4 linked regions of the Elephas maximus indicus genome follow. The protein of the gene in region 4 binds, or shares a complex with, the protein of the main gene of each other region. Links are inferred from orthologs where the notes say so. Each region holds a gene or a part of one and is shown on either strand. Other genes may lie near its edges. The genes, in order: CNOT2, CNOT10, CNOT9 and CNOT6L.

Region 1 (7,987 bases), on a different chromosome or scaffold from region 4:
CCCCACGTGTGTAGAACAGAACCACAACATAGGATTTTCAAGGCTGTGACTTTCTGGAAACAGACAGTCAGGACAGTTTTCTGAGGTATCTCTGGGTGAGTTCAAACTACGAACTTTTCGGCTAGTAGTCAAGCACTTAACTGTCTGAGCCACCCAGGGAGGGACCTTGTTCATGGATACAGAGACTTATTAAGATGTCAATTCTTCCCAATTTGACCTATAGATGAAATGCAATCCCAATCAAAACCACAGCAAGTTATTGTGCAGATAATGACAAAATGGTTCTAAAGTTTATATGGAAAGGCAAAAGATCAAGAAAAACCAACATAAGAAGAAGAACGGAGCTGGAGGATTGACACCATCAGACTTCAAAAATTACTATAAAGCTATAGTGATGAAGACACTGGTGAAGGAATAAACATACAAATCAGTGGAACAGAATAGAGAGCTCTGAAATAGACTCATGCAAATATAGTCAACTGATCTTTGCCAAAAAAGCAGGGGCAGTACAATAAAGAGTCTTTTGAACAAATGATGCTGGAACAACTGGACATCTACGTGCAAAAAAGTGAATCTAGATCACAGACCTAAATGTAAAATATGAAACTATGAAATTTCTATAAGATAGCATAGGAGAAAATCTAAGTGATCTTGAATTTAGCAATGAGTTTTTAGATACAATACCAAAAGCACAATGCAAGAAAAAAAGAAGCTAAATTGGACTTCATTAAAATTAAAAACTTCTGCTCTGCAAAAGACTGCTAAGAGAATGAAAAGGTAAGTCACAGACTGGGAGAAAATGTTGGCAAAACACGTATCTGATTAAGGACTTGTATTCAAGATATGCAAAGAAGTCTTAAAACTGAACATTAAGAAAACAAACAAGCCAATTAGAAAGTGAGCAAAAGATGTGGACACCTCACCAAGGAAGATACACAGATGGCAAAAAAGCATAGAAAAAGTATTCAAATCATGTATCATTAAGGAATTGTACTTTAAAATAAAAATGTGATGCCACTACATCTATTTAAAAAAGCAACAAAAGTAGATGCAGTCCACTCGATTCCAATTCATGGTGATTCTATAGGACAGAGTAGAACTTCCCCATACGGTTTCAAGGCTGTAATCCTTAAAGCAGCAAACTGCCACATTTTTCTCCTGTGGAGCTGCTGGAGGGTTCAATGTGCCAAACTTTCAGTTAGCAGCTGAGCACGTTAACCACTGCACCACCCCAAAACTGACAATACCAAATGCTGGAGAGAATGTGAAGCAGCAGAAACTCCCATTTATCAATGGTGGGAATGCAAGTTGGCAGTCACTTTGAAAGACAGTTTGGGTAGTTTCTTATAATGCTAAACACAGACTTAACATATGATCCAGCAATCATGCTCTTAGGTATTTTTCCAAATAAACGGAAAACTTAAGTCCACACAAAACTGCACAAGAATGTTTATAGCAGCTTTACTATAATCGAATGGTAAAACAAACTATGGTACACCCACACAACGGAGTATTATTCAGCAACAAAAAGAAATGAGCTAACCTGGTCAGGAAAAAGGAATCTTAAATGCTTAATGCTAAGTGAAACAAGCCAGTATGAAAAGCTACATACTGTAAAATTCCAACTATATGACATTCTAAAAAAGGCAAAAATATACAGAGACAATAAAAAGATCAGTGGATGCCTCCAATTCAGAAAGTGGTAGCGGATGGGGAGAGTGAATAGGTGGAGCACAGGGAATTTCTGGGGCAGTGAAATTATTCTGTATAATACTGTAATGGTGGATACATAGCATTATGCATTTGTCAAAACCCACAGAACTGTTCAACACAAAGAGTGAACCTTAATGTAAACTATGGGTTTTAATAATGTTGTTGTTGTTGATAAGTGCCCTCAAGTCAGTTCTGACTCATAATGACCACATGTACAACAGAATGAAACACTGTCTGATCCTGCACCAGCCTCATAATCTTTGCTATGCTTGAGCGCACTGTTGCAGCCACTGAGTCAATCCATCTCCTTGAGGGTCTTCCTCTTTTTTTCTGACCTCTGCTTTATCAAGCATGATGTCCTTTCTCCAGGGACTGGTTCCTCCTGATAGTATGTCCAAAGTACGTGAGACGAAGTCTCGCCAACCTGACTTCTAAGGAGCATTCTGGTTGTACTTCCTCCAAAACAGATTGTTCTTCTGGTAGTCCATGGTATATATTCAATCATCTTTGCCAGCACCATAATTTAAAGGAATCAATTCTTCTTCAGTCTTCCTTATTCATTGTCCATCTTTCACGTGCACATGAGGCAACCGAAAATACAATGGCTTGGGTCAGTCACACCTCAGTCCTCAAAGTGACATCTTTGCTTTTGAACACTTTAAAGAGGTCTTTTGCAGCAGATCTGCCCACTGCAACGCATAGTTTGATTTCTTGACTTCTGCTTCCTGGGACAATGATTGTGGATCCAAGTAAAACGAAATCCTTGAGAACTTGAAAGGAAATCTTTGAGGATTCAATCTTTTCTCTGTTTATCATGATCTTGCCTATTGGTCCAGTTGTGAGGATTTTTGTTTTCTTTATGTTGACATGTAATCCATACTGAAGGCTGCAGTCTTGGATCTTCACCAGTTAGTGTTTTGAGTCCTCTTCGTTTTCGGCAAGCAAGGTTGCGTCATCCGCATATCGCAGGTTAATGACTCTTCCTCCAATCCTGATACAGCATTCTTTGTATAGTCCATATTCTGGGATTATTTGCTCAGCATAGAGATTACATAAGTATGATAAAAGGATACAACCCTCATACGCACCTTTCCTGATTTAAAACCACGCAGAGCATCCCCTGTTCTGTTTGAATGAGTGCCTCTTGGTCTACGTACAGGTTCCTCATGAGCACAATTAAGTGTTCTGGAATTCCCATTCTTCATAATGTTATCCACAATTCTTTATGATCCACACAGTCAAATGCCTTTGCATAATGAATAAAACATAGATAATGTCTTATTTAATAATAATGTATCAATATTGGTTATCACCTGCAACAAATACAGCCCACCAACGCAGATGTGAATAACAGCAAAAATGGTAGGTAAGGTAAGAAGAAGTATACAGGAACTCTACCTTCAATTCCATTTTTCTGTAAACAAACCACTCTAAAAAACAGTCTATTAATTAAAAAACAAAACACACCATTTGAAGAATATCATAGTTAAAGGAAAAGGAAGATTATCAACCAAATGGATTCCAAAGGAGAGGTGAGAAAATGAGACACTAAATCTAAATTTATATTTTTTAAAAAGACCAACAAGAATCTAATTAAAAGAAATACATAAACCAAATGTTAATTAATGGAAAGAAACAAACTTATATGTCTCTAAGTTTCTCTAAATCAGAGCCTAATAAAAATGTTGCATGCAATAAACAGTACTTGGATTAATGAATATTAACTGAACCCCAACTTCTTTCAGAAAATAATTAAAAAAAAGAATTTCTCAAAACAGGAAATCAATATATTTTGAGTAAAATTTCTAGAAAATACTTTATTGGAGAGGGGAAATACTTATTAAAGTTTATTCTTTTAAATTTCATGTCACCAAATAAAATATGCTAATGGAACAAGAATCAGGAAGTCTGAGTTGAAGTATTAGCTTGATCAATTTCTCCTTTCTAGTCTTAGTTTCCTAATGTGTAAAATAAGGTGGTTGATCCAAATGAATTTAGAAAACACATCCAACTCCAAAATTGTCTATTTTCAATGTTCGGTGTCAAGGCAATGCTCACAGGAAAGTGGACAATTACAGATGTCCTTTTCTATGTTGTCTTTTTTTCTTCCCACTGCACTATTCAATAGTATACAAAAAATACCCCAACATTTTACGGTTGCCCTCGTGGCACAGTGGTTAAGAGCTCAGCTGCTAACCAAAACTTCTGCAGTGTGAATTCACCAGTTGCTCCTTCGAAACCCTATGCGGCAGTTCTTCTCTGTCTTATAGGGTCACTATGAGTTGGAACCGACCTGACAGCAACTCGTTTGGTTTTGGTTTAATGGTATCTGAAAGGAGCCCCAGTGGCACAGTGATTAAGTACTCTGCTGCTAAACCAAAAGATCAACGGCTTGCTCCATGGGAGAAAGATATGGCAGCCTGCTTTTGTAAAGATTACACCTCGGAAACCCTAGTTCTACTGTCTTACAGGTCAGTATGAGTTGGAATCAACTTGACATCAATGGGTTTTCTTTTAACGCTATCTGAAATAAGTAAAACATGGTAGTCATTACCATACTCAACTTTGAGCTAAAACGTGAGGAATTTGGTCAAGTTATGATTGTTGAACCAGCTGGACGAGTTTTCTTTTTCTGAAATAAACTCCGAAAAAAAAGCAAACCCACTGCCATCAAGTCAATTCTGACTCATAGTGACCCTATAGGACAGAGTAGAACTACACCATAGGGTTTCCAAGGAGTGCCTGCTGGATTCGAACTGCTGACCTTTGGGTTAGCAGCCGAGCTTTCGACCACTGCGTCACCATTCTTTTTTGATATAGAGAATTTTATATACCAGGCTGGCTATTAATTAGAACAGACTACCAGATGTGGCCAATTTCAATGGAACTCTAGAGTAAGCTGAAGTAAACACACTGTGCTCTTACCCTTAAAATTCAAAGGTTTTTTAGATTCCCTAACTATGTCAATCAACCTTTTCTGATTAGTAAATGAATCACAGCCACAAAAACACTTCCTTGCCCTTATGAACTAATTTCTGGTTTGATAACACAGACGAATGTTTTCACAATGCTCTAAGTTATGAACCTAAGCAATGTCACTGAATTGTACATATAAAAATGCTGAATAGGCAAATATTTGTTTACATGTATTTTTACCAGAATAAAATGATTTAAAAAATGTTCTGAGTTAATCACTCCTTGGTACATATGAGAAGTGTCTGCCAGTTTGTCATACTGTGGGGGCTGGCATGTTGCTGTGACTCTGGAAGCTATGCCACTAGTATTCAAATACCAGCAGGGTCACCCATGGCAGACAGGTTTCAGGCGAGCTTCCAGACTAAGGTTAGAAAGAAAGGCCTGGCGGTCTACTTCTGAAAAGGTTTAGCCAGTGAAAACCTTATGAATAGCAGTGGAACACTGTCTGATATACTGCTGGAAGATGTGCCCCTCAGGTTGGAAGGCACTCAAAGTATGACTGGGGAAGAGCTGCCTCCTCAAAGTAGAGTTGACCTTAATGATGTGGATGGAGCCAAGCTTTCAGGATCTTCATTTGCTGATGTGGCACGACTCAAATTGAGAAGAAAACAGCTGCAAACATCCATTAATAATTAGAATGTGGAATGTACAAAGTATGGATCTAGGAAAACTGGAAGTCATCAAAAATGAAATGGAATGAATAAACACTGATATCCTAGCCAATGGTCAACTGAAATGGACTGGTGTTGGCCATTTTTAATCAGATGATCATACGGTCTCCTGTGCTTGGAACCACAACTTGAAGAGGAATGGCATTGCATTCATCATCAAAGTGAACATTTCAAGCAGCTGGTATTTAAAAAAGGCCCAAAGTTTGTTAACCAGGGAAAAGACAGTCTCTTTAGCAAATGGTGCTGGCATAACTGGATATCCATCTGCAAAAAAACGAAATAAGACCCATACCCCACACCATGCACAAAACCTAACTCAAAATGGATCACAGACCTAAATATAAAATCTAAAACGATAGAAATCATGGAAGAAAAATAGGGCAACACTAGGAGCCCTAATACATGGCATAAAACAGAATACAAAACATTAGTAACAATGCACAAACACCAGAAGAGAAACTAGATAAGTGGGAGCTCCTAAAAATCAAACACTTAACGTTTATCCAAAGACTTCACCAAAAGAGTAAAAAGACAACCTATAGCCTGGGAAATTTTTGGCTATGACAAATCTGATCAGTGTCTAATGTCTAACATCTACAAGATACTGCAAAACCTCAACAACAAAGACAAATAACCCAATTAAAAAATGGGCAAAGGATATGAACAGGAACTTCACCAAAGAAGATACCGAGGTGGCTAAGAGATACATGAGGAAATGCTCACAATCATTAGCCATTCCAAACAAAAAAACCAAGCTCAGTGCCATCGAGTCGATTCCGACTCATAGCGACCCTATAGGACAGAGAACTGCCCCATAGAGTTTCCAAGGAGCGCCTGGCAGATTCAAACTGCTGACCCTTTGGTTAGCAGCTGTAGCACTTAACCACTATGCTACCAGGGTGTCCCATTAGCCATTAGAGAAATGCAAATCAAAACTACAATGAGATTCCATCTCACCCCAATAAGGCTAGCATTAATGTAAAAAACACAAAATAATATATGTTGGAGAGGCTGTGGAGAGGCTGGAACACTTACACACGATGGTGGGAATGTAAAATGGTACAACCATGTTGGAAATCAATGTGGTGCTTCCTTAAAAAGCCAGAAACAGAAATAACATAAGATCCAGCAATCCCATGCCTTGGAATATATCCTAGAGAAGTAAGAGCCATCACATCAATAGAAACATGCACACCCATGTTCACTGCAACACTGTTCACAGTAGCAAAAAGATGGAAACAATGTAGGTGCCCATTAACGGGTAAATGGATAAACAAATTATGGTATATTCACACAATGGAATACTATGCAATGATAAAGAACAACAGTGAATCCTCGAAACATCTCAAAACATACATGAATCTGGAAGACATTTTGCTGACTAAAATTAGTCACAAAAGGAACAAATACTGTATGAAGCCACTATTATAAGAACTCAAGAAAAGGTTTAAACAGTAACACATTCTTTGATCATTATGAGGGTGGGGAGGGAGGGAGAGGGGTAATCACTAACTAGACAGTACACAAGAATTATTTTTGGTGAAGGGAAGGACAACACACAATACAGGGGAAGTCAGCACAACCACATTACACCAAAAGCTAGTAAGTTTCTTGATTACGATCAAACACTTCAAGGGACAGAGTAGCAGGGGTGAACCATGCAGCTGGGGACCATGGTTTCAGGGGACATTTAGGCCAACTGGCATAACAAAATTTATTAAGAAAATATTCTGCATCTCACTTTGGTGAGTGGCATCTGGGGTCTAAAAAGGTAGTGAGCCAAGCAAGCAGCCATCTAAGATTCAACGACTGGTCTCAACCCACCTGGAGCAAAGGAGAATGAAGAACGTCAAAGACATAAGGAAAATATGAGCCCAAGAGACAGAAAGGGTCACATAAACCAGAGACTCCATCAGCCTGAGACCAGAAGAACTAGACAGTGCCGGCTACAAGCGATGACTGCCGTGACAGGGAACACAACAGCAAGTCTCTGAAGGAGCAGGAGAAAAGTGCAGTGCGGAACTCAAATTCTAGTAAAAAGACCAGACTTGATGGTCTGACTGAGACTAGAGGGACCCTAGAAGACATGGCCCCCAGACCTTCCGGTAGCCCAGAACTAAAACCACTCCCGAAGCCAACTCTTCAGACAAAGATTAGACTGGACTATAAGATATAAAATGATATGGTGAAGAGTGTGCTTCTTGGCTCAAGTAGATACATGAGACTAAATAGGCAGCTCCTGTCCTGAGGCAAGATGAGATGGCAGAAGGGGACACAGGAAATACAGGGTGGAGAGGAGGAATGTGCTATGACATTGCAGGGAGAGCAACTAGGGTCACATAAAAATGTGTGTATATGTTTTTGTATGAGAAACTGACTTGAATCATAAACTATCACTTAAAGCACACACACACACAAAAAGAACATTTCAAGATCTATCCTGAAGTACAACGCTGTTAGTGACAGGATAATATCCATACACCTACAAGAAAAGACCAGTTAATATGACTATTTTTCAAATTTAGGCACCAACCACTGAGGCCAAAGATGAAGAAATTGAAGATTTTTACCAACATCTGCAGCCTGAAATTGATCGAACACACAATCAGGATGTATTGATAATTACT
Region 2 (8,270 bases), on a different chromosome or scaffold from region 4:
ATCGAGATGCACGCATTTCCCTTGGTTGGTGTCCTGCTTTAGTTTCTTTTACTCCAGAACAGTTAACCATTCTTCTTTATCAAGTCCCTAACTGTTTTTTAAAGAGTCTAAGCTGGTTATCTTGCAGAATACCCCACATTCTGGGTTTTTCTCATTGTTTCCTCATGACCACACTCAGTTCGGCATTTTTGGAAAGAATACTACATAGGTAATGTGAACGTGGGAATATTTGTAATTTTTAATGTTAATATTTTTCTTTTTTCTGTTAAAAACCTGTGTTTTGTTTTTAAAAAGGTGTTTTTTATATTTCAACATCTCCCACAGAATATTCTGTTTCTCAATTCTACTCACCAGTAGATATTTCATGCATTAACTAAAAGACCAGTGACAGTGACCACTGCAAAAATGTGACTCCGACATGTAAGAGTAAAGTCATCAGAGACTATCGCCCTGGGATGCTCTTTAAACTTGGAACTCAAACCACTCCCAGAGGTCACCTCTCAGCCAAATGACAGACTGTCCCATAAAATAAATAATATCACCTGTGAGGACTGTGCTCCCCAAAATAATTATCCAGGTGAAATCAAAGGCTTAACATTTACCCTAGACAAAAGATGAGAAGGCTAGGGGGGACAGGAAAACTGGATTAACGGAAACAGAACAACTAAAATAGAAATAATAAGAACGCAGAAATATTGTGAAGAATGTAACCAATGTCACTAGACAATATGTACAAAATTTGTTAAATGAGAACTTAATTTCCTATGTAAACTTTCACCAAAGACACAATATATAAGAGTAATGTCATCATTTGTGACTTAAAGAACAACTTCAAAGTCTCATGATATTTGGATTTCTTATTTACATGTTCACTTTTTATTACAAAACTAATAAATACATATAAAGTACAAAGCGGCTCTACAATCTCTACCCCGAATAACTGTCAACAGTCTGACCGCACTTCTATCCCACTTTCCAGGATTTTTGCTCTGACCCCTCTTTCACATTTGCAAACCATCAGGTACTTAGTAACAGTAATGATCAATTACTTTAATAATGTGTTGAAATGGGACGCAGGATTACAGGACCCCAGAAAGCACAGGAGGGGGTTAGGTTGAAGCTCAACCCTCAACTTATCACATTATATTGATGATAAAATTTTAACAATGAATACAAATACTTTTTACATGTTTCTCTTTCCATTTAAGAGTTTAGGAAACGCAAGTTCTTAAAAAATTACCTTTCCCCTATAAGTAAGTATGGAAACCCTGCTGGCATAGTGGTTAAGAATTCGGCTGCTAACCGAAAGGTCAGCAGTTCCAATCTACCAGGTGCTCCTTGGAAACCCTATGGGACAGTTCTACTCTGCCCTATAGAGTCGCTATGAGTTGGAATCGACTTGATGGCAACAGGTTTGGTTTTTTTGGTTTGTAAGTATGGAGCCTTCGTGGCATAGTAGTTAAGGGCTCGGCTGCTAACCAAAAGGTCGGCAGTTCGAATCCACCAGCCGCTCCTTGGAAACCCTATGGGGTAGGTCTACTCTATCCTACGAGTCGGAATCGACTTGATGGCAATGGGTTTGGTTTTTATGGTGCATATTTAAACCAAATGCCAAAAATTCTTAGCTTGCCATCAAGTTATCTTTATAGCTTGTTCCAAAATATGCCCCTTCTAGACCAGATGACATTCTTTAACGGGTCTTCTGGGCCTAACTGTTAGAGACTGACCATTAACTATAGGGCACAAGGATGCACTCAACAATTCACCAAGGAGTCAAGGAGTTTAAGCTTCTATTCTCCGTGAAAAGCAGAGTGGTGCATGTGGCCACTGCTGTCGTCATCCCCTAGGGACTGCAAGTCTCCCCAAATTCTCCAGGAAAGGAAAGAAGCCAGGTTTTAAATAAATAAGCTGGACTTTAAGCCTGACAAGAAAATCTGTGATTCTTGTATCTACACCTGTTTCAAAGAACTGAGCTCAATAAATAACCTTTTACATGTTAACCAACTGTTATTTTACCTAAATTCTTTCACTTTAGCATGAAAATTTACTGTTTTTTTTAAAAATACACTATAGTGAGAACGCTCATTTTCTTTTTATCTTTTTGCACTTTTCAAACGTTCTATGATAAATACGTATTTCTCCTATAATTGGTTTTTAAAATTTTTTAAAATCATTATTTGTAACTGCTAATTTCTTACCAGTTAGAGCCTGCACGTAATTCCACAACATTTCTTTATTTGTCCAAAAGTAGTCCCCATTGCCAATTGAAAGAGAATATGATGATGGGTCTTTCAAAGGCTTGACTTTCCTTTTACTCTGACCTAACGAACATGGCTGACCTAGGCAACCCGAGCTCTTTGCCTCACAAATCTTGACAGTCTTCAAGCCGACAGGCTTCATTTCTAACCAAACGAATGCCTTTAGGTATGAACTAAGTGGAAAAGGAACACGCTGCTTTTTCAAAACTGAAAGCCAGTTAACTGAAAGCAGAGACGCATTCCAATACAGAACACTAACAATTCAAATCTGATTGGAGCATGAGCTTCCGCGCAACCTACACTTGTCAATACGTAGCTCCAGTGATGTTCAAGAAAAGATAATTTTTCAAAGAAAAAAGGAATGCATTAAGATTGACAGAAATCTGCAATGTTTGCAAAATACTGACATGCCTTTGTGGAGAAAAGTTTTAACAAGGATGCCATTTCAAAGAAAAGTAATCCAGGCTCACCAAAGTCACCATATAGCTGAGGCTCACATACCTCACGTGTTCCTTCTAGCACCTAAACAACAAGTATACCTGAGGTATGAAAACTCCACACACAGATACCTGACCTCTACATAACTCAGAGAAGTAACAGGGGACCAGTGGAGCTACCTTCCAGAAAGCAAGAAGTACTGCATAAGCCACGTTTCCTTTTCACTGTAGGCTGGACGTGAGGAGCTGCAAAAATGGAGAGCAGACATTGCAGGGCCCAAAGGATACGCCATTCATAACCAGCAATGCTACAGAGGTGGACACCTTGCCTAGTGCTTCAGAAAGAAAGGAAGTGAAGTCCAAATCAAGAACATCAGCATGCTCTGGGGATAACCAGCAAAGCATACCCACTCCCACTGCCAGTGAGTATTTTTATTTTCATATCTGAGAGCAGTTTTTATGCATAAAAAAGACTGAGATTTACTCTAGGTTTAAACATTAATATTAGATTTGTTGAAGTTATAAATTAATAAAGCCTAGATTTTCCTCAAGCTTTTACATTCAACTTAGACATCTTATTACCCTATTTAAAGGTCTAGGAAACCTGCGTCGATTTTAAGCGGCTGTAATGAATATTTGATCTCATTTACAGAGTTAAGCTCTTTCAAACAAAATTTTCCCTACTTTAAAATCTTTAATATGTTCAATTTTAGGTACAATTGCTTGACTTAAAACATTTTCTGAGAACTTAAATACATTAATTTATAAATCTAAGAAATGAGATGGATAAATACAGTAACTCTTAGGTACTCTTTGATGTTCCATGCAATAATACAAATATAGTAAGGACTTGACTTAAATTCACAACTATAATCAATTACTCACTCATTTATACATTTTTAATCACAATAACAAGATTAATACACTGCTCCAAATTCTTAAACATTAAACATACTTAAAATATCAAACATAAGCAAGATAGTGGCATCAGCAAAATGTAACATCTTAATGGCATTAGGTAAACTTTCATTTTCTAGTCACCTGCACTCAATCCCCTCCCTAGTTTGGCACGGCCACCTTAAAGCCACAATGGTCCACATTCCCAGAGAGAGAGCCTGGTCTCTGGCTTTAGATACGGCAGAGCAGACTTTGTTGTATCTGATCTAACCTGTCCGAGGACTGCCTCAAGGACTAAAGCAAGGTGCTCATCTTGGTTTGACACGTCTGGGCTGAGGGGCAGTAGGGAACTCTGAAAAGCTGTAGCTGCCTGTAGCTAAAGAATGCAATTAAGGCACACAACAGGCACCTAAAGACTGGAAGGAAAAGCCAAGAAAGATTACTTTTGTAAAAGAAGACTTTCAAAAGCACCTTGTATATGGAGGAATTAGCAAGGCACACGCTCAGAAATTACCTTTGAAAACCATACACTTTCACGCTGGGCTGTCCTATAGGCTCAACACAAACCTGGCTAAGTGCTGAAGGAGGGCCCTAGCACAGAACCAATTTGCAAAGACAAACAGACATTACTGCACTACCCCCACCCCGGGCACTCAAGGAAATCTGTCAAAAAACTAGCTGAACACAGTTAAGGAACAGAGACTTCAGGGTCTACATATGTAGAGAAACGTAGTCTTTGCAAAAACAGTTAGGGGAAGTCTCTAAATAAATGGATTACTACAGTTCTAATGATTTAAAACAAACAATAAAACCCCCAACAGCCCCAGGGAAGGGGAAGAATCTGATTTCCAGAATTACCATAACAGTCAGATGACCTGGTTTCAACAGAAAATCACAAGGCATTCAACAAAACAGGAAAGGATGACTTGTTCAGAAGAATAAAGTAACAAAAACTGTCCATGCAAAGAAGCCTCGGATAAGCAAAGCATTACTGAAAAAGAAGAAGAAAAGTGGGAGCCCTCACTCTACCTGATTTCAGAACCTATTATACAGCCACAGTAGTCAAAACAGCCTGGTACTGGTATAACAACAGACATGCAGACCAACGGAACAGAATGGAGAACCCAGGTAAAAATCCATCCATGTATGAGCAGCTGGTATTTGACAAAGGCCCAGTGTCAGTTAATTGGGGAAAAGATAGTCTTTTTAACAAATGGTGCTGGCATAACTGGATATCCATTTGCAAAAAAAATGAAACAGGACCCATATCTCACACCATGGACAAAAACTAACTCCAAGTGGATCAAAGACCTAAACATAAAGACTAAAACGATAAAGATCATGGAAGAAAAAATAGGGACAATGTTAGGAGCCCTAATACAAGGCATAAACAGAAAACAAAACATTACCAAAAATGACAAAGAGAAACCAGATAACTGGGAGCTCCTAAAAATCAAACACCTATGCTCATCTAAAGACTTCACCAAAAGAGTAGAAAGACCACCTACAGACTGGGAAAGAATTTTCAGCTACGACATCTCCGACCAGCGCCTGATCTCTAAAATCTATATGATTCTGTTAAAACTCAACCACAAAAAGACAAACAACCCAATCAAGAAGTGGGCAAAGGATATGAACACCTACTTCACTGAAGAAGATATTCAGGCAGCTAACAGATACATGAGAAAATGCTCTCGATCATTAGCCATTAGAGAAATGCAAATTAAAACTACGATGAGATTCCATCTCACTCCAACAAGGCTGGCATTAATCCAAAAAACACAAACTAATAAATGTTGGAGAGGCTGCGGAGAGATTGGAACTCTTATACACTGCTGGTGGGAATGTAAAAGGGTACAACCACTTTGGAAATCTATCTGGCATTATCTTAAACAGTTAGAAATAGAACTACCATACAACCCAGAAATCCCACTCCTCGGAATATACCCTAGAGAAACAAGAGCCTTCACACAAGCAGATATATGCACACCCATGTTTACTGCAGCTCTGTTTACAATAGCAAAAAGCTGGAAGCAACCAAGGTGTCCATCAACGGATGAATGGGTAAATAAATTGTGGTATATTCACACAATGGAATACTACGCATCGATAAAGAACAGTGACGAATCTGTGAAACATTTCATAACATGGAGGAACCTAGAAGGCATTATGCTGAGCGAAATTAGTCAGAGGCAAGAGGACAAATATTGTATAAGACCACTATTATAAGATCTTTAGAAATAGTATAAATTGAGAAGAACACATACTTTTGTGGTTACGAGGTGGGGAGGGAGGGAGGGTGGAAGAGGGTTATTTACTGATTAGTTAGTAGATAAGAACTACTTTAGGTGAAAGGGAAGGACAATACTCAATACACAGAAGGTCAGCTCAACTGGACTGGACCAAAAGCAAAGAAGTTTCCAGGATAAACTGAATGCTTCAAAGGTCAGCAGAGCAAGGGTGGATGTTTGGGGACTATGGCTTAAGGGGACTTCTAAGTCAATTGGCAAAATAATTCTATTATGAAAACATTCTGCATCCCACTTTGAAATGTGGCGTCTGGGGTCTTAAATGCTAACAAGCGACCATCTAAGATGCATCAATTGGTCTCAACCCACCTGGATCAAAGGAAAATGAAGAACACCAAGGTCACACAATAACTATCAGCCCAAGAGACAGAAAGGGCCACAGGAACCAAAGACTTACATCATTCTGAGACCAGAAGAACTAGATGGTACCCAGCCACAACCGATGACTGCCCTGACAGGGAGCACAACAGAGAACCCCTGAGGGAGCAGGAGATCAGTGGGATGCAGACCCCAAATTCTCATAAAAAGACCAGACTTAATGGTCTGACTGAGACTAGAGGAATTCCGGCAGTCATGGACCCCAAACCTTCTGTCGGCCCAGGACAGGAACCATTCCCGAAGACAACTCATCAGACATGGAAGGGACTGGACAATGGGTAGGAGAGAGATGCTGATGAAGAGTGAGCTACTTGTATCAGGTGGACGCTTGAGACTGTGTTGGCATCTCCTGTTTAGAGGGGAGATAGGATAGAGAGGGTTAGAAACTGGCAAAATTGTCACGAAAGGAGAGACTGGAAGGGCTGACTCATTAGGGGGAGAGTAAGTGCGAGTACGGAATAAGGTGTATATAAGCTTATGTATGACAGGCTGACTTGATTTGTAAACGTTCACTTAAAGCTCAATAAAAATTATTAAAAAAAAAAAAAAACTGTCCGTGGGAAAGCCCAGATGACGGACTTTAAAACAACAGTATTAAACATACTCAAAAGGTTAAAAAAAAAAAAAGGAAATCAGGAAAATGATGTATGAATAAAACGAGAATAGAGACTATCAAGAAAAAGACAGACATTATTTTAAAAAAGAATGAAAAATACCAGAGCTGAAAAGAATAACTGGAATGAAAAATCCACTGTAGGGGTTCAACAGCAGATTTGATCTGGCAGAAAAAAGAACCAGTGAACACAAATATAGGACAATTACTATCAAGTCTGAGGAGCAAAAAGAAAAGAGAGTGAACAAAAAGACATCCCAATTAAAAAATGGGCAAAGGACTTGGATATGTCACCAAAGAAGATATACGAATGGACCACAAGCACACAAAAAGATGTTCAACATCATTAGTCATTAAAACCAAACCAAACTCACTGCCACTGAGTTGATTCCGACTCATCGTGACCCTACAGGACAGAGTAGAACTGCCCCACAGGGTTTCCAAGGAGTGGCTGGTGGATTTCAACTGCTGACCTTTTGGTAATAGCCAAGCTCTTAACCACTGTGGTTATGTGGGTGAATGTCCTTACTTCTAGGAAATGCGTGTTGATGCATTTAGAAATGAAGTGCCAAGTTGCCAATAACTTATTTCCTAGTGATTCAACATTAAAAGTTGTGGCCAAAGATAGAGGAAACACGTATGGCAAAATGTGACAACTGTTGAACTAGTTGGTGGGTATATGGATGTTCATCTTACTTTTAATTTATTGGCTGTTTAAAACCTTTTCTAATAAAAAAGTTTTTAAAAAATACCAAATACGAACAACTTTATAGTTACCGAATCAATGTCCTTCAATTGGTGTAGGCTCTCACAGCCCAGAATCCTAGGTGGGTGTTCAAGTCCTTACCTACAAACCCTGCCTACAAAGCCTTCACTTGCCTGAATTTTGCATTTGTTTGGCATAAATGTACTTCTCCAGATCTGAAAAATTTGAATTTGAGAGAAAATATAGGAGAAAAACCACAGAATTAAATATCTAGTAGGACCATTCAATTCTTTCAGCTATTAAAATTATACTCAACTACTAGGGCTCCTTGGAGAAATGGCTAATTCTAGTGCTGGGGTATAGCAGACAAGACATAAGTCAGGAATATTTTGTTAAGGTGGGGAAAAAAAATCTGTCAACAGCTTGACCAGGTGATTAAATTATCACGATAGTCAATGGCAGATGGACATATATGCCTCTACATGTGACGCCCTGATTGCCACAACACCCCTTATGTAGTAGTCTACCTGGAAATACATAAATTCATCCCTTTGCTCATGGTAGTAAAAATACATGCCACAAAACATTCACCAGTTCGACAATCTGTATGTGTGCACGTCAATTTCAGTAATACTGATTATACCCTTCATGTTGTGCAACCATTATCATTAC
Region 3 (7,597 bases), on a different chromosome or scaffold from region 4:
GAGAAAATAAAGTCGTATCTTCCTATATATTCCAAGAAAACGCTCTTAGTAAGTGCTAAATTGATTGATGCTAATTCCTTCCCCTTTTTAACAGCTCATGACTACCCATAAAAGAAATTCAAATGCTTCTCTGTGTTTGGGATTCATACACTTCCTATTTCTAAATACAAATCCTGTTCTACACAAACTATTACATTTTAACATTTCCTCCCATATCCACCACCACCAACTGACTTAAATATGGAATTTTGCTTTATCTATTTTGGAAACCTCATCCTCACTGGTCTCACAGTCTACCCCGTTGCTAAAATATATATATATAAACCACTGCTCTGATTTCCAAGGGCTTTCTTTCCTAAAAAGATCCATATGACAAACACACAACAAGATAAAATTAGTGGTGTGGCTGAAAGTAAAGAAGGAAGTTAGCCTACATAAAATTTATCTCCAATTCAAAGAATGAATCTGAATGATTTTATGACATATGAAAGGGTATAATGACCCAAAGCTGGAAAACTCTTTGTTTTTCTCTTGTGGTCCTCTGTTTTTGCAAAAGGTAGCTGTCTTAAAATGACAATAATCAGTAAACTGGTCCTTCCAAAAGACTCATGGTTGTTATTTAAGTCCAGTTTACTCATTTAACAATTTTTTGAGAAGTAGAAATGGTCATTAGTTTGTAATCTAGTAGAACACAGACTTTAAACAATTTCACAAGTAAATATACAATTACAAGTTCCAATAAGTGATAAAAAGTGAAAGTACAGGGCAAGATGAGAGATTACAACAGGGTATTTAAGATTTGGTGGTAAAGGGTAGGGAACATTAAGAAAAGTACCACTTGAACAGAAAATTAAGTAAGTTGATTGGGGAATGGTGGTGCTGGAACAATCCAAGAAAACAGAAAAGAATTTCTTTTTTATTTTATAAAAGTGCAAAGGCCCTGAGATAGGTAAGAACCTGGCATGACTGAAAAGTAGCAGCATGGATGCTGCTTAGTGACAGAGAGAATGGTGCAAGATGAAGCTAGTGAAGCAAGAGCCGAGTTACACAGTTTTACAGACCACAGTAAGGATTCTGAATTTGATCTTTACTATTCAACATAATGGAAATGCTGGTGGCTTAGTGGTTAAGAGCTACAGCTGCTAACCAAAAGGCTGGCAGTTCGAATCCACCAGCCACTCCCTGGAAACCCTATGGGGCAGTTCTACTCTGTCCAATAGGGTCACTGTGAGTCAGAATCAACTCGACGGCAATGGGTTGTTTTTTTTTTTTTAACTCAGTGTAATAAGCACTTAGTGATGGGAGATGCATGGGAGGGTTTTAAGCAGAGAAAATGCCATATTACTGCTGAATGGAGAAGTGACGTGGTTTGTTTGGGTCTGGGGACAAGAACAGTGGAGGGAGCAAGAACAGAAGAAAACAGAGCAACCAGATAGAATACTTAAGTTGTTCGGCTTATAACAACAATTACAATAACAAGTAACACTTATTGGCCATTTACCATGTACCAAGTGCTCATCGTGGTTATCTCATTTAATCCTCCCAACAATCCAATAAGGTAGAACCTTTTATTATTTCCATTTTACAGATGAAAATACTTGGAACCAGTGAGATTAAGTCCAGGTGAAAGGCGACTGTAGCTCGAACTAAAAAAGGTGGTAGTGAAGATGTAGAGAAATAGATTCAAGACATATATTGAAGTATAATAGATAGAATTTGGAGAGGGTATGGATACACAGGATGAGGGAAAAGCCAAGAATGACTTTCAAGTTTCTAACCTGTGTAACTGGATAAATGGATGTATCATTTAATAAAATGGGACACTGGAAGAAAAAGAATTTGGGTGTGGGAAGAATGACCAAGACATGTTTCAGACATGTTATATTTGAAATTCCTCTGAAAAAATTAAGTAGAGATGTCAAACAGGCAGTTGGCTATTTAGATGTGGAGTTCAAAGCAAAGGGATTGGATGGGAAATAAACATTCTTAAGTTTTCAATGTAGAGATGGAATTTGAGGCTTATGGAAGGCAAAAGTAAAAGCAGAAGAGGACCTAGGGCTGAAGTCCAGATATTCAAAATAGAAACACCTCTTACTAAGATCACTAATTACTTCTATGTCACCAGGGTTTTTTCAGTCCTCATTCAATTTTACCTTTCAGCAGAATTCAACACTATTGACAACTTCTTTCATCTCTTTTGCAAGGCTCATTCTCCTTTATCCAGTTATTAAATGTTAAGAATTCTTCAATGCTCCCTCCTAGGTCCCCTTCTTTTCTAGCACTATACTCTATGCAATTTCATCCACATCCATAGCTTCAATTACTACCAACATGACTCTCTGTTTATGTGTATATATACAGTCCCTATGAGTCGGAATTGACTTGACAGCAACAGGTTTTTTACAGGTGTACACATGTATATACAATTGTCAGCCCAGAAATTCTTCTCTGAGCTCCAACAGCATATCCAACTGTCTACCTGACATCTCCTTTAAGATAGCTCTTCCAGTTACAGGCCCGTCAGGCATCGTTGTTAGTTGCCATCCAGTCAATTTTGAGTCGTGGTGACCCCATGTGTGCAAAGTAGAACTCCTCCATAGGGTTTTCCAAGCTATGACTTTTTGGAAGCAGATTGCCAGGCCTATCTTCTGAGGCACCTCTAGCTGGGTCTGAACTGCCAACGTTTCAGTTAGTAGTCCATAAATTAACCATTTGAGCCACCCAGAGACTCCTGTCTGGCATTAGCAACCTCCCCCCCGCCCCCCCGCAAAAGGCATTCACAGAGCTAACATTTTGAGGGGATTACAACAAAACCAAACAGCCCTGGTGGCACAATGGTTACGAGCTCGACAGCCAACCAAAAGGTTGGTCCAGCGGCTCCATGGGAGAAAGACCTGGTGATCTGCTTCCATAAACACTGCAGCCAAGAAAACCCTCCAGGGCCGTTCTACTCTGTCACATGGAGTCACTAGGAGTGGAGAACGACTCGAGGGCACCCAGCCACCACCACCACCACAAAACCATTACAGGACAACTCGTCAGAATACAGGGCTTTGCCATCAATTACCATTTCCTTCTGCGGATCATAACCTAAAACGGGTAAACCTGACAACCTAATCTGATGGCCAGAAATGGGGAACACCAGACAGATGCACGACAAAAAATATAATTCATGCCTTTTGGTGAAGGATACTTAGGAGAGGAAAGAAAGTGAAGAATGGTCCAGAGACTGAATTGAGTATCATGTCTAGGACCCGATGGAATGTGCGGCAACGGAAGTCACCTGAAGAGACAGCAGGCCTCATTAAGTGGCAAGTGGTGGACGACAGCAGGAGCCAGTTTCGGACTGCGGAGGGCACGGGACAGTAAAGACCAGGTTTTAAGAGAGGGAGAGCCTGGGGGGAAGCCCCAAGTCGAGTATCTGAGGCTAGGGACCGTCGAGGGGTTGGGGGGCGGGCTGAGAAGCAGCGCGGTGAACTCTTTAAGAGTGAACGCCGAGTGGGCGGACAGCGAAGGGGAGGGGGGCTGGGAGAAACAGCTCAGTTGAGAAGCTTGCCGGGCCCGCCTTACCTGTGCCTGCGAGTCAGGAGCCCCAGAACAGGCCTACCGGAAACACAGAGTCCGAGCGGAGGAGGAGGAACCGGGAGTAAAGTAGGGGTACCGGCCACTGTGGAGCGGGGCCGCTCACTCCCCCAGTCAGGGAGAGCGGCTGATGGCGGGAACTGTGACCACACGCAAACACGCACGCACGCACGCACACTCGACGCGACCAAACCAGGCGTGCGCGCAAGCCTATAACTCCGCCCTTCCTACGCCTTCGCCCCGCCTCGGCACCAAGCGACGCCCTGCACAGAAGCCCCGCCCCTGCCGTGACTGTAGTACGCACGCGCACTTTCCATTTCATCCCCCTTTCGAGCTCCCACCATTTCCCTCCTACTGAGCCCAGTCGGGCATGCGCACTAACAGGCCTCCCGAGACTGCTCCTCTTTTCCCGCCCTTCACTGGCTTCCGAAGGAGGGTCAGAGTTCACACCCGTAAGGATGCCTACTTGAAGCCGGGGATACGGGGACTAGCGGGTCGCGGACGTCCTCCCTGAATCTTAAGGGGCAAAAGACATACTGTGAGACTTTTAACTCCGCCGAGGGCAGGGAGGCGGGAAGAGGTTGTGTGGGCGGGGTCAGGGGTGAGAGGTCAGAGGGCGGCGAAGGGGGCGGAGCGAGCCGGAGGCGGATGGCGGCTGCGGCGGCTCATCATCTTCGGCGGCAGCGGCGCTGAAGCAGGACGCGGATCGGGCGCGTCCGGCGGTAGGAGGAGAGTGGCGGCCGCCCCCAACATGCACAGCCTGGCGACGGCTGCGGTGAGTGGCTGGACCGGCCGGCCTGGGCCCAGAACCCCTCCTCAGCCCTGCGTTTCGACCTCCTCTCCCAGCTCCCTGTGTCGGCCCCGAGTCCAGCTCCTTCTGCCCTCAGCCGGCGAGGCCCTGCTTCCCTCCTCGCCGCGCCTTTCCTGCGATGCGGCTGGCCGCCGCTCTCCTCGGCTGACGGCTCTCGCTGCCTGTCTCTGCGCGTAGCGTTCTGTTCCGGCCCTGGGGCCTGGTCCAGCGCCCGGAGCGTCTCCCTCGCGGCCCGGGCCGGCCATTCATTGATTCCTTACGCTGACCAACAGTTTGAGAGCCGCAATGGTGTGCTGGGCGCCGGCGGGGCCGAGGGGGATCCCGTGGTAAATCTGACGCGGCCGGTGCTCTCGGAACTTACTGCCTAACGCAGCAGGATGGGAATGGCTTCTAGCTCAAACCACTAGCTTTTACAGATGGAAAACCTGAAGCCCGGAGAAGTGAATAAATATGCATCTGGTTATGATTCTTTGCTTTTAAAACCTTTCACACATCTCGTCCCAACAGCTTACCAGGCTTTACCAGCGTGCTCTTTTAACAAGAAAAGCGCAACGTGTATTTCACCTGTCTGAAGTACTTCTATGGCTTCCCATTGCACTTAGATAAAATCTAGACTCCTTGCCATGGCCTGCAAGGCCCTGTGTGATGTCGTCCTTACTCACGTTTTCAGCCTTGTCTTATGTCACTGGAACCTGATGGCACAGTGGTTAAGGGCACGGCTGCTATCCAAAAGGTCAGCGGTTGGATTCCACCAGCTGCTCTTTGGAAACCCTATGGGACAGTTCTACTCCGTCCTGTAGGGTCTTTATGACCCGGAATCGACTTCACTGCAACGGGTTTGGTTTTTTAATTTGGTTCTTATGTCAGTTGCTCCATGTGCTTTAGCTACACTGCCCCCTTGCTAACCCTCCTCCATGTGCTTTTCCACTCCTGGGTGCACCTCTGGTCTCTATGTCTGAAATGCTTTTCTTCCCTCTGTGTGTGTTTGTGTGTCTCACACACACAAACACACACACACACACCATGTGGGTGTAACAGGCTCTCATCCTTCTGGTCTCCACCTAAATGTGCTTCAGAGTGGCCTTCCCTGGCCACCTTATTCAGAGTAGCCAACTTTTCTCTTTCAGAGTACCCTGCCTAATACCGATCCTAATATGTAGCTATTGTATGAAGTTACTAGCTTGTTGTCCTCCCCCTTGAACACAGAAACAGGGATCATTTGGGTCCTGTTTACATTGTTTCCCCAGTGCTAGGATAGTTTCTGCTACCATTTAGTAACTCAAATACTTTGTTCAGTGAAGTAATATAAATGCAGGAGGTGACCACTGAGAACATGTAGCCATAATGGGAAAAAGGGATCATTTGATTTTAGTGAACGCTTCTGCATGCCAGTCCTACTTTTTCAGTTTCACCAAGGACAAAGTGACTTAAGCAGATAATAACGTGCTGAAATTGCATTACCAGGCAACATGACATAAGTTCTAAATAGAGCACAAAAGAAATTGCCTTAACTTTAAATATAACAACTGAAGAAAAAGTGAGCCAAGTGTGGCTAGCCTATAGCAAACATTGCTTTCTGAGATTTGATCCTTATCAAGTCATCATTTCCAGGGCCAGTGGCATCTCTGTCTCCTGTCACCATGTTTGTAATTGTGGAGAGGTACTTTTTAAATCTTAATTTGATTTTAATTTCCCTAGCTTTTTTATTCTACCTCCCAAATTTGGGAAGAAGTACATTGCAAGGTAAGGCTGCTGCTGGTAGGGGAAAAAAGAAAACAGGAGAGAGGCAGATTAAACTGAGGGAGATTCTTGTAAGGTTGGCTCTCTCTCAAAATCTTTGTCTTCCCCAGGATTTGTACTTTTGATACCAAGCCATTCTCCAATTTTATTTTCAATAGTTCATCTTTTGAACAGCCATTGAAGCTGTGGTACATTAAGAATAATAAATACTCAGTATATGCTTCTTCAATGTACAATGCCTTATATTTACTTAAGAATTTAAACTTTTACATGTACTTGCACCTGTTACACTAGTTGGACTGTACAGCAGCTCTGACAAGTTCCTTTGTACCACTCATCCACTGAGCTATTTGATTAGTGAGGAGACTGAGGCATAGAAAAGTTGACTCACCTCGTTCCCAATCCCTCATGTCATCTGTTAGACCAAACTGGGAATTATGATCTGGGTAAAAGGACAATAATGATGTATATCACTCATTAGAAGATGGGGAGAGTTAATAATACATGCAACATTACCCACAATAATCTAAGCTACTTGAGAAGATGCTTACATATTGCCCAATAATGAAAATTTATATTTGTGTATGTGCCTTTATCACTCCCTTCTCCCTTCTTTTTTTTTTTAAATAGCAGGAAAGTTATTTCTTCAGGCAGGGAGATAGAAAGTACTATCATAGGATGATGTGATCACACGTGAATTCAGGCTATTCTTTGTAGAGGGAGAGATTGAGATAATTGGGGAAGTACCTTAAATCTTGAGAGTAGAGTAATATTTTATTATGCTAGAACTGTGCAGTAGACAAGGAGCTGTGGATAAGCACTTGGCTGCTAACCTGAATATTGCTGGTTCAAACTCACCAGCTGCCCCACAGGGGAAAGATGTGACAGTCTGCTTCCGGAAAGATGGCAGCCTTGGAAACCCTGTGCGGCGGTTCTGCTCTGTCCAATAGGGTCACTATGAGTCGAAATCAACTCGACAGCAATGGATTTGGTTTTGATGTAGTAGACTTGTCATTCTTGAGGGAATACATCCTAACAACTTTGTTATTGCCAACATAGAATATAATAGGGACAGTAATACCACACGAGATTATTCTAAAGATTGAACAAGAATGACAAACTGCTTAGTGGTTGGCTCACTTCACTCACTGGTTAAATGACTTGCTTCCAGACTTCAGCCTTGGGATTTTAGTTCCTACCTCTGCAAAGTAATAACTTTGTTATGGACCTTGGAGATTGCTTCAGATTAAAACAACTACAAATCTTCACATACCTAGAGTTGTTATCTTCCGTAATGAATGTTATGCTAGTGATCTGAAAGCCAAAGGTATACCTTTAAGAAATGCTTTGGAGATACATATACATATATATATTTTTCTTAATTTCCCACTAATTCCCAATAACAATTGTAGCATCCTTAAGCCATAATCTTTCCCTTACTTTCTACCTGGTCATTTTATATAC
Region 4 (8,426 bases):
GTTAGTTTTGATATAGAAGAGAATTTACTAGTTAATTTAGCCACGCTATGTGAAAAAGGTGCAACTAGACCCCAGGGATGACTGAAACCTGGAACTGGAGAACTGCTAGGACTTGCTCTCTGCATTTCTCATCTCTGTGCTAGCTTCATGCTACACAAGGCAGTAAGTGGCCACTGGTCACTCTCAGACTTCCTTCTTGGCTCTACTCTTAGAGCCAAGGGAGAGTCCTTCTTCTCTTAGTTCCACCTGAAAATATCCTGGGGAAGAACTTCGCTTGTTTTTGTTTGAATCATAAGCCCACCCTTGAGCCAAGACGCTGGGGGACTTTCTTGGGCTGCAGCTGCCACTGGAATGGCAGGAATAGTTCCCTGAATGAAAGGACACACTGTTCACAGAAAGAGGAAGGTTAATGGGCAGACAAATAGATGGCCAATACGTAAAACATAAAACACAGGCGTTCTAGTTGAGGTCCCAACTACCAGGTCCCCTCTGGGTACTCTAGGTGGCTTCTGAAACATACCTTTGCGGACTCTATGAGGATCCCTGGAGTACAGCATTTTACTGGTTGGATAGCATGTCAGTTATCTTCAAGTCCTTGACAAATTGAGGAACTGGACATTTATTGGTGGTGGTTCTTGCCTGGTACAGGAAGTACCAAATAGAGTGGTACTGAGGTTGACAGAGTTGGGGTGGAGATTCTGAATATTCAGAGATGAAGGGACTTGAGAATGGGACTGCAGAAAGAGGAAGCAGGAGGGTACCAAGATTAACTTTGCCTATTTACCATCTTATCTATGACTGAGGTATCATATGGCATACTATCAGTAATGATGGAAAATGTTTACCTTTGGCTAAGATAGTGTGATGGTCGTTTGTGTCACCCACTGTTGTTTTGGGGGAAAGAAACAAAAAAGGAGTGATGGAAAGAGAGAGTGGGTGGACACAGAGAGGGCAAAGGAAATCAGTAAACTCAACCTCCTTGGAGGAACATACCCATGGTAGACGGTGTCTTACAGAAAGATAAGAAATAAAGCCATGGGGATATATAGAGAGGAAGAGGAATTAGAGGAGTAAAATGTGAGAAGACAGAGAAGAATGTAGTTCAATGAAAGGTAGAATATGTCACTGTAAAATTGTTTGGAGGCCCTGTCAGGAGGTCTAAGAAGTAAAAATTTAAGATTATTCTGATTAGTGCTTGTTAAAAAAGTTATTGTACTAATGACTATCAAGTAAAATTACAATGAATTATTTTACTAATTAATAAATTAATTTACTTACCGAATACATTTAAATGTGCCACTTTACTTGAAAAGTTATATACCTATTGGTATAAAAGTATGTATTGAAATGAGTAAAATCATTTAATTGATTCTTTACCCAGTAGTAATAATATTCTTAAGTCAAAAATTTAAATCTTAGCTTTTTGAGCAAGCTATTCAATAGAATTCCGGAAAAGAGATAAAGGCACATAGTGACAAGGAAAGATAAAGGATTTTTCTGTGTCGCTACCAACAGATAGGAAGATTTATTCAAATATTATTTGCTAATTTGAAACAGAAACAGGTGGTCTCTATAACATCAAGTACTTTATTTTTAAGAAAGAATGGACTAGTTCTGTAATACAAATAAACAAATATTGTTTCAGAACAAATTGTACCTACACACTGCTGCTATTAAAGCAATTTGGTCAAAAAGGGCTTACTTAAGCCAGAAGCTTTCAAATGTATAAATCACTTCTTCAAAGGGAGATTTTTTTCATTGCTTTCTTATTTCTAGTCTTAATTAAAAAATGATAATATCTGACAAACATGAATAATTCCCACTGAAATCTTATTTGAAAAGATATCAAAAGCAGGCTACTATTTTGTTCCAAACCTTGATCTACTATAAAACTGTTTTTTAAAATGGCTGAAGTGCTACTCTTGCTGTTGGCATTTGTCTTTTGAATTACAGTCTTAAGAGGGAATTATTTTTTTTTTATATCTACAAAGATTTAATTTCTCAGCTAATATAATTTGTACAACTTTAAAAATTATTGTTTCTCTAATCTCAATCTTATTGCAAATAAGAAAAACAATCTATTTTTCAGATAATTATACAAGTTTTGCTTCCTTGTTTTTAGTAAGTCAATTCATTTAATATGCTATACAAAGAACATCTTTGGCTATTTAAACTCAAACTGCATTCAATTGACCTTTTCATAATAATATCTACTATTATTAACTCTAAATGTTATAATTACCTTCTTTTTCAGTGGATGTTGATGCATTTACTAGAAGCCAGCAATGAACATTCTATATATAAACCTGAGCTTCAGCACCAGCAAACCCTACCATTAGTGTTAACATCCACATCGCCCTCCCCTCTTCCCCCAGCTAGTCAGCCTGTGAGGGTGGTCAGATATCATATGGCTGAAGTGAAAATGTCAGCCTTATCACATCAACCTTATCCTCTGACATTTGTTGTGTTTAATTTTGTGCTACCTTTCATACTTTCATTTCTGGTTTGTTCTGTGAGAATTTCCTGTTTATATGTCTGCTTCCCCTACAGCTACTTAACGGATTGTATATGCTTAACTTTGTATCTCCAATGCCACATACAGTGTCTGGAACATAATACCTCCTCTACATATGCTTATTTACTGTATGACTGAATACTTAGAAATCTATACACCTATGATATTTGAAGAAACTTAAATCTCTGAGGTTATCATATAATGTAATTCATATTTTTTCAGATGTTTCCTTCCCTCATTTCTTCAACATTTGGTAGTATTTCTCCTTCAGGAGGAGAGTGTGTGTGCCAAGGAGAAATGCTGTGGCATCAAGGGAGGTTTATTATTCTAGGCTCCTAAAGTGACTTGTTTGGCTTTATTGCTTACAAAGCCAGATATTTACTCATTACAGTCAGCCTATACTCTAGATAGTTGGGAATGAATGGGACTTCTTCCAGGATTAAGGTCATTTTGACACCTATTACAAAAGCCAGTATGGCGGTGGTGTTGCTAGGAAATGTAAACTTAAAACACAGGTGAAAAACAAAGTAGCCTTAGGTCTTCTCTGTCCTGAGGGGCTTCTTCACTTACTCACTCAGTCACTCTCTCATGCTTCCTGGTGAGAAGGATAAAAGTGGTGCAGTAGTGCTTCTGCAAAGGTGAACTCTTAATAGCTGTTCAGTTCTGGCTAAACGATCATTTGCATTTTCACTTCACCTTCCCCCGCACCAGGAGATGAAAGCATTTTACATTCAATAATAGAACCTAAGATTTAATTGCAGCAAACACAACGTGCTTAGTGTCCTAAACAAATCTCCTGTGGGAAAAAATACCGAACGCTATTCATACACCCTTGACCAAGAAATACACAATCCTGGAGCATGCATTGCGAAAGAGATTGAAATTGCTCAAAACTGCAACAGTAGTATTTTGCCCCTAGAGCCTGTGTAATTTGCTTGTTGTACTGCTGTTGGTGAAAGCTGAAGTTGACCCACATTAATGAAATTAAACCCCAGAAACTTAAAATGTCAATACCACATTCTGCAAGGAAACATTAATATTTCTAGTTTTCATCTTAATGTTTTCATCCTGTAGTTGGCACACATAAACTGCCAAACAATGTAATTCTATCGCGAGAAGCGAGAACTTGAAAATAGGACGGGTTATCCCAGAGCGTCACAGGTTCTTTTATTTACTTTTGACGATACAACTTACACATACTACACATTTTTGAAAAACTCACTTAAGGTGTCAGGAAACATTTTCTTTGGTCTCCTCACTTCATGTGATGTCTCATTAGCCACCCAAACCAGCTCTCGGCTTCGTTGTCAGGCTGCCTCAGGCAAGCTTGTAGCATCGCCGGGCTCACGCAAGAACACGGGTGAGGCTTTGTGTTTGTGTGTTTGATAACCTACCAGCGTTCCCAGCTCTGCTCGTCACTCGAGCCAAGAAAACGAAGAAAGAAACAGCAAGAGTAAATGAAAAAGAGGGCCAAGAACACTGCCCAGCGCACGCGCACTTCGACAAAACGCTACACTCAAGGGGCGGGGCCAAGGCGCGGCTCTGGAGCTCCGCCCCGGCGCTGCTCCGCCTCCTCCCCCTCACCCCACCCCTCAGCGCAGGGGATTCACTGACTCCCGCCAGCCCCTCCACGTCAATCAACCCTCCTCCTTCTCGCACTCTCTGCACCTTGTTATTAATCTCAAAACCGATATCGCCCGGTCGCCTCTCCCCCGGCCTTCGGGGGTGTGAACGTGTGTGAGCGCTAGCGAAGGCACCGAAAGCTGGCGTCTCTGTGTAGCAGCCTCGGCCTCAGCAGCAGCAGGCGTAGCAGCAACCCCCACAGCGGCGGCAGCCCCAGCGGCAGGAGGCCAAGGCCAAGGCCAGGCTCCGAGCTGCTCCTGGAGTAATAGACGCGGCTTCGGCGGCTGGGAAGGCGCAGCTCCCTTCGGCGGGGCCTTGGCGTCGGCGGCCGCGGCCGCGGGGCCTCTCCTGCGCTCTCAGGGTCACCGTCCTCGAAGCCCGGCAGCGCGGCCCTCGTCCCCCTCCCCACCCCCTTCTCCTCGCTCCCTTCAGCTGTCCTTCTCGTCGCCGTCTCTGCCGTTCCTCAGGCAGCCCGGCCCGGCCTGCCCGCCCCGCGTCCCCTCCGGCCGGTCCCTCTCCCCCCGGCGGGCTGCCTGCATGTCTTTGCTGCCCTCAGCCCCGCCGCCACCGCCGCCACCGCCACCCCCGCCGCCGCAGCACCAGCACCAGCCGCCCCGCCGCCGCCGCCGCCGTCGCCGCCCGGACCCCGGCGCGCTGAATGCAGGTGAGGAGGGGATGCAGGCCCCTCCGCGACCCCACGCCCGGGCGCCTAGCGCGCCCTCCCGCGAGCCCGGGACCTGGGCCCTGCCTGTGGCGGCGCTTCCCATCCGGACGGGCGGGAGCCAGGCCCGCCCGTGGGTGTTTGTGTTTGCGTCTGCGGCCGCGGCTCCGGAGGGGAAGCATCTGTGGGGGCCTGGTGAACGCGCGCGCGTGTGTTTGTGTGTGTGTGTCCCCTGCCGCGGGGAAATGGCTGCTGTTGCTCCTTCTGGGCCCGAGGAAGAGAATGAGGTAGTGTGTTTTTGTACCTCTGAGGAGGCTCGAGGATGTTGGGAAGAGGAGCGCGTCAGTGGGGAAATGAGGTGGGAGAGGAACAAATGTGCGTGCGGCTGTGCGATTTGGGACTTTGGCGGGCGAGGAGGCGGCCTGAGGACCCACAGCGAGTGGGTGTGTGTCGAGTGACTGGAGGGGCTAATGGGGCTGACCCGCGTCTCTGTGGGAGCGAGCCAGGGTTCCGGGGTGTGTGTGTGAGGGTCCATGCACTGGGCCCGGGACTCGGGGGGCGGGTTCCGTGTGTCCGGGACCCCCGAGTGGTGTGTCCGTCACCCTTTGTGGCCGAGTGCAACGGAACCTCGCAGGTGAGAGCTGCTCGGCGGGGGTCGGGCCGGGGAGGGGTGAGCCTGTGTGTGGCAGACACACAGCGGCTGGGCCCGGAGAGCTGCGGGTCGGGGCCGCGCCGCTGTTCCTGGGGCCGCGGCAGGAAGCGCGCCGGCCTGCAACGCGGCCTAACCGCCTCGGCGCCCGCCGGCCTCCCCGGACGCCCGGCCCTCGCGGGCCCGGGGCGCTGCCTCGGGCCTGGGCAGGTGGAGGTCAGAGGCGGGACGCGCCGATTCCCGTCTCCTCAGCCGCCTCCGAGTCTCCTGAGAGGCGAAGGCTTATTTTGGCCTTCGAACTGCAGGCTTTTTCTCCCGCCAGCTGTGGGACCCGAGGGAAAGTGAATCAAAGCAGTAAATCTCAGGAATACGCGGCGTCGAGGTCCCTGCTTCTCATCCCTCCTTTAAGGGTACGCGCAGGAACTGAGTAAATATTTGCGTTTTTCCTTTCAGATACTTTTTCGGTGATAAGATATATGCATTTTTTAAAAAGGTAAATATCTTCTTGGAAGCGCGGGAGAAGGAAGGGAAGCTGACTCTAGTGGCCTGTGTTACCGGTGGGTGGGATTGGATCGATTTTGTGCATCTGAATTGTTTTGTCCTTCCTTGTAGGGGGAAAGGTGAGTACATGCCCAGTTGAGGAGGTTGGTAAGGAAGAGGAAGTTAATACTGGAGCTGTCATCCTCTTAATTCTGACGACTATTTGGTTTAGGCTGTTTAGATCAATTGTGTTCAGGGAGTTCAGCTGAACCTTTTGTACACATTGGAAGCACCATACTACATACTGGGAGGCACTACCTTCCTGCCTCTAGTTATCTTGTCAGTCAAGATAGTCATGCACAACAAACACATTTTCCTCTGAGTTTACTCAAGTCTCCAAAACCTAGATCAGAGGCAGCCTTTATTGTCTACTCACTGTGAGATCCTGGAAAGCTATTTTGAGAGTAGTTGAAGCAAAATGAAATTGTAAAGACACATCTGCGTGTGATGTTTTCAAAGCCAAATACAAATGGCGTTTATATTTAAATATAATTATTTGCTGATTTACTTTATCTACTCTGCTCCCTCCCCTTTAGCTCATTTAGCTTGAACCCTGTGGAGAAAGTATGATATAAATTCTGTCCCTATAGGTTGTGCTGTGTATATTGACCAGAGGTTGCTCCTTTCTCAACCTGGCTCTCAAAGAAATAGTGCGTGTTATAGGGTCGCTGTAAGTCGGAATAGACTCGACGGCAACGGGTTTGGTTTTTTGGAGGGTATTCACTGGGAAGTGAGGAGAAGGGAAGGTGGGATAGAGAGCTGTTTTCTGTTATCACTACTGGAAAAACAACAGATGTAGTTTAGAGGAAAAAGGACTTGTTTTACAGACCTCAGAATCCAGACTGTGCCATTTTTCTTAGTTGTTTGACCTTACGCAAGCTACCTGGTTTCTCCTCTAATGTGGGGATAATGATGCCTTTATAATAAACTTGTTGTGAGGCTAGAATGAGAAAACATGTCTCACACATAGTAGATGCTTAGTTAAATTTTAATTTCTCCTCCTGCATCCCTGACTTTGGGCTTTGAAAATCATTTCTAAATAAAAATACTCATTACCTACAGCAATATTATATAACTAAGTTAATAAATCAAAAAGTATTTCAGAGTCAGTTGATACACATAGGATATATGTATATATATGAATATGTGTATATGTGTGTATGCATGTACATGTAATACACAACTTTTATATATATAAATATATAACTTTTGCATGGTATATTAGAAATCTTTTTTTAGGAATAAGGTTGCCATTAAAATAGCCTACTATATTAGTTTGTAGAGAATATAGTCATACTTAATTTTATTTTCGTATTTGCGAATAGCCCATCTCTCAGTTTCATTACTCTTTTTTAGCTAATTCTTACTATGTAGTTCTTGCAATTTTTTAAAAAAAGTTTTATATGTAGCACATATACTATGTTCTAGTAAAATCAAGCATTACAAAAGTCAAGGAATCAGAGTTTGTCTACATAGGACAACAAAGTGTAAGTGCCTCAAAATCGTTATGCAGTTCTTTTAGTTCATATTGATTGATTCCAGTAAACAAAACCCCTTGGAATATTTTCCTGAATGTAAGCTAAAATCCTCTGTCAACTTACCTTTAAATAATTTCCCATTTTTATTAGTATTTGTGGAGTAGTATATGTGTTCTTCATTACATTTTAACCTTATTGTGAAAAAAAGAATGGAGTTTAAGGTATGGGCAGCTGAGAGGTTAAGTAATGAATTTTTTTTTTCTCCTTTTTTATTTGATAAAGGCAGGGTGAAGAGAATGTATAGGAGACATCTCTTTGGTTTAAATTTGGAATGTCCCTGTTTACAAATGCCATGTTTCCCAATTAAGCCTTAAATCATTATTTCCATCAACAATGTTAGTAATATATATTTGTAAATCTAGAAAATCACTAAAATTTCAAGTCATTTAACATCACTTTCTGTGAAGGGCAACAGGGACAACTTTATTAGAATGCAAAATGTCATGTTTTGTTAAAATAGCCAGTTTCTGTTGTGGATGTATGTGTGTTTACAATGAACAGAATCATCTGCCATAGAGATATATTTAAAGGAAGAAGTCTCACCTTAAAAAGTATGAAATTGTTTTTAATACTTTAAAAACAAAGAAAAAAATGAAGTTTACATTTAGGTAATTTTCATTAAATATTATGAATCATATCTTAAAGCAACTTATACGTATATATTTTTAGTTTGGGAGAATTGGGTAGAACATTTATCTGTAATAATCATGAAAACAGATGATGTTGAACTATTAAGATATTTGGACAGTGAAATTTATAAATAGTAGAACTGGACATGCTATCACTGTTTAAAGGAATTATATTAAAATAAAATGAAGGTGTTTAGTTTTTAAAAATAATGTTACTTAAATAAGCTTTTAAAAAATTTTCCAAAATGCCCATCATAAATGTTTTTATTTA

What was found.
Region 1: CNOT6L (region 4) and CNOT2 share a complex: the UniProt entries of both Homo sapiens proteins name them as parts of the CCR4-NOT complex. The link is inferred for Elephas maximus indicus from reciprocal best matches to the Homo sapiens genes CNOT6L and CNOT2.
Region 2: CNOT6L (region 4) and CNOT10 share a complex: the UniProt entries of both Homo sapiens proteins name them as parts of the CCR4-NOT complex. The link is inferred for Elephas maximus indicus from reciprocal best matches to the Homo sapiens genes CNOT6L and CNOT10.
Region 3: CNOT6L (region 4) and CNOT9 share a complex: the UniProt entries of both Homo sapiens proteins name them as parts of the CCR4-NOT complex. The link is inferred for Elephas maximus indicus from reciprocal best matches to the Homo sapiens genes CNOT6L and CNOT9.

The regions. Positions count from the first base shown.
Region 1 is NC_064822.1:131,515,419-131,523,405, reverse strand, and holds the start of CNOT2 (CCR4-NOT transcription complex subunit 2), read right to left. Parts: upstream 3,172-7,987; 5' UTR 2,912-3,171; coding exon 2,802-2,911; intron 1-2,801. UniProt on the Homo sapiens protein: Component of the CCR4-NOT complex which is one of the major cellular mRNA deadenylases and is linked to various cellular processes including bulk mRNA degradation, miRNA-mediated repression, translational repression during translational initiation and general transcription regulation.
Region 2 is NC_064845.1:6,926,588-6,934,857, forward strand, and holds the start of CNOT10 (CCR4-NOT transcription complex subunit 10), read right to left. Parts: upstream 3,358-8,270; 5' UTR 2,401-3,357; coding exon 2,199-2,400; intron 1-2,198. UniProt on the Homo sapiens protein: Component of the CCR4-NOT complex which is one of the major cellular mRNA deadenylases and is linked to various cellular processes including bulk mRNA degradation, miRNA-mediated repression, translational repression during translational initiation and general transcription regulation.
Region 3 is NC_064824.1:117,130,776-117,138,372, forward strand, and holds the start of CNOT9 (CCR4-NOT transcription complex subunit 9), read left to right. Parts: upstream 1-4,132; 5' UTR 4,133-4,333; coding exon 4,334-4,357; intron 4,358-7,597. UniProt on the Homo sapiens protein: Component of the CCR4-NOT complex which is one of the major cellular mRNA deadenylases and is linked to various cellular processes including bulk mRNA degradation, miRNA-mediated repression, translational repression during translational initiation and general transcription regulation.
Region 4 is NC_064823.1:79,349,609-79,358,034, forward strand, and holds the start of CNOT6L (CCR4-NOT transcription complex subunit 6-like), read left to right. Parts: upstream 1-5,065; 5' UTR 5,066-5,081; coding exon of another isoform or gene 5,082-5,086; 5' UTR 5,087-5,332; coding exon 5,333-5,433; intron 5,434-8,426. UniProt on the Homo sapiens protein: Has 3'-5' poly(A) exoribonuclease activity for synthetic poly(A) RNA substrate.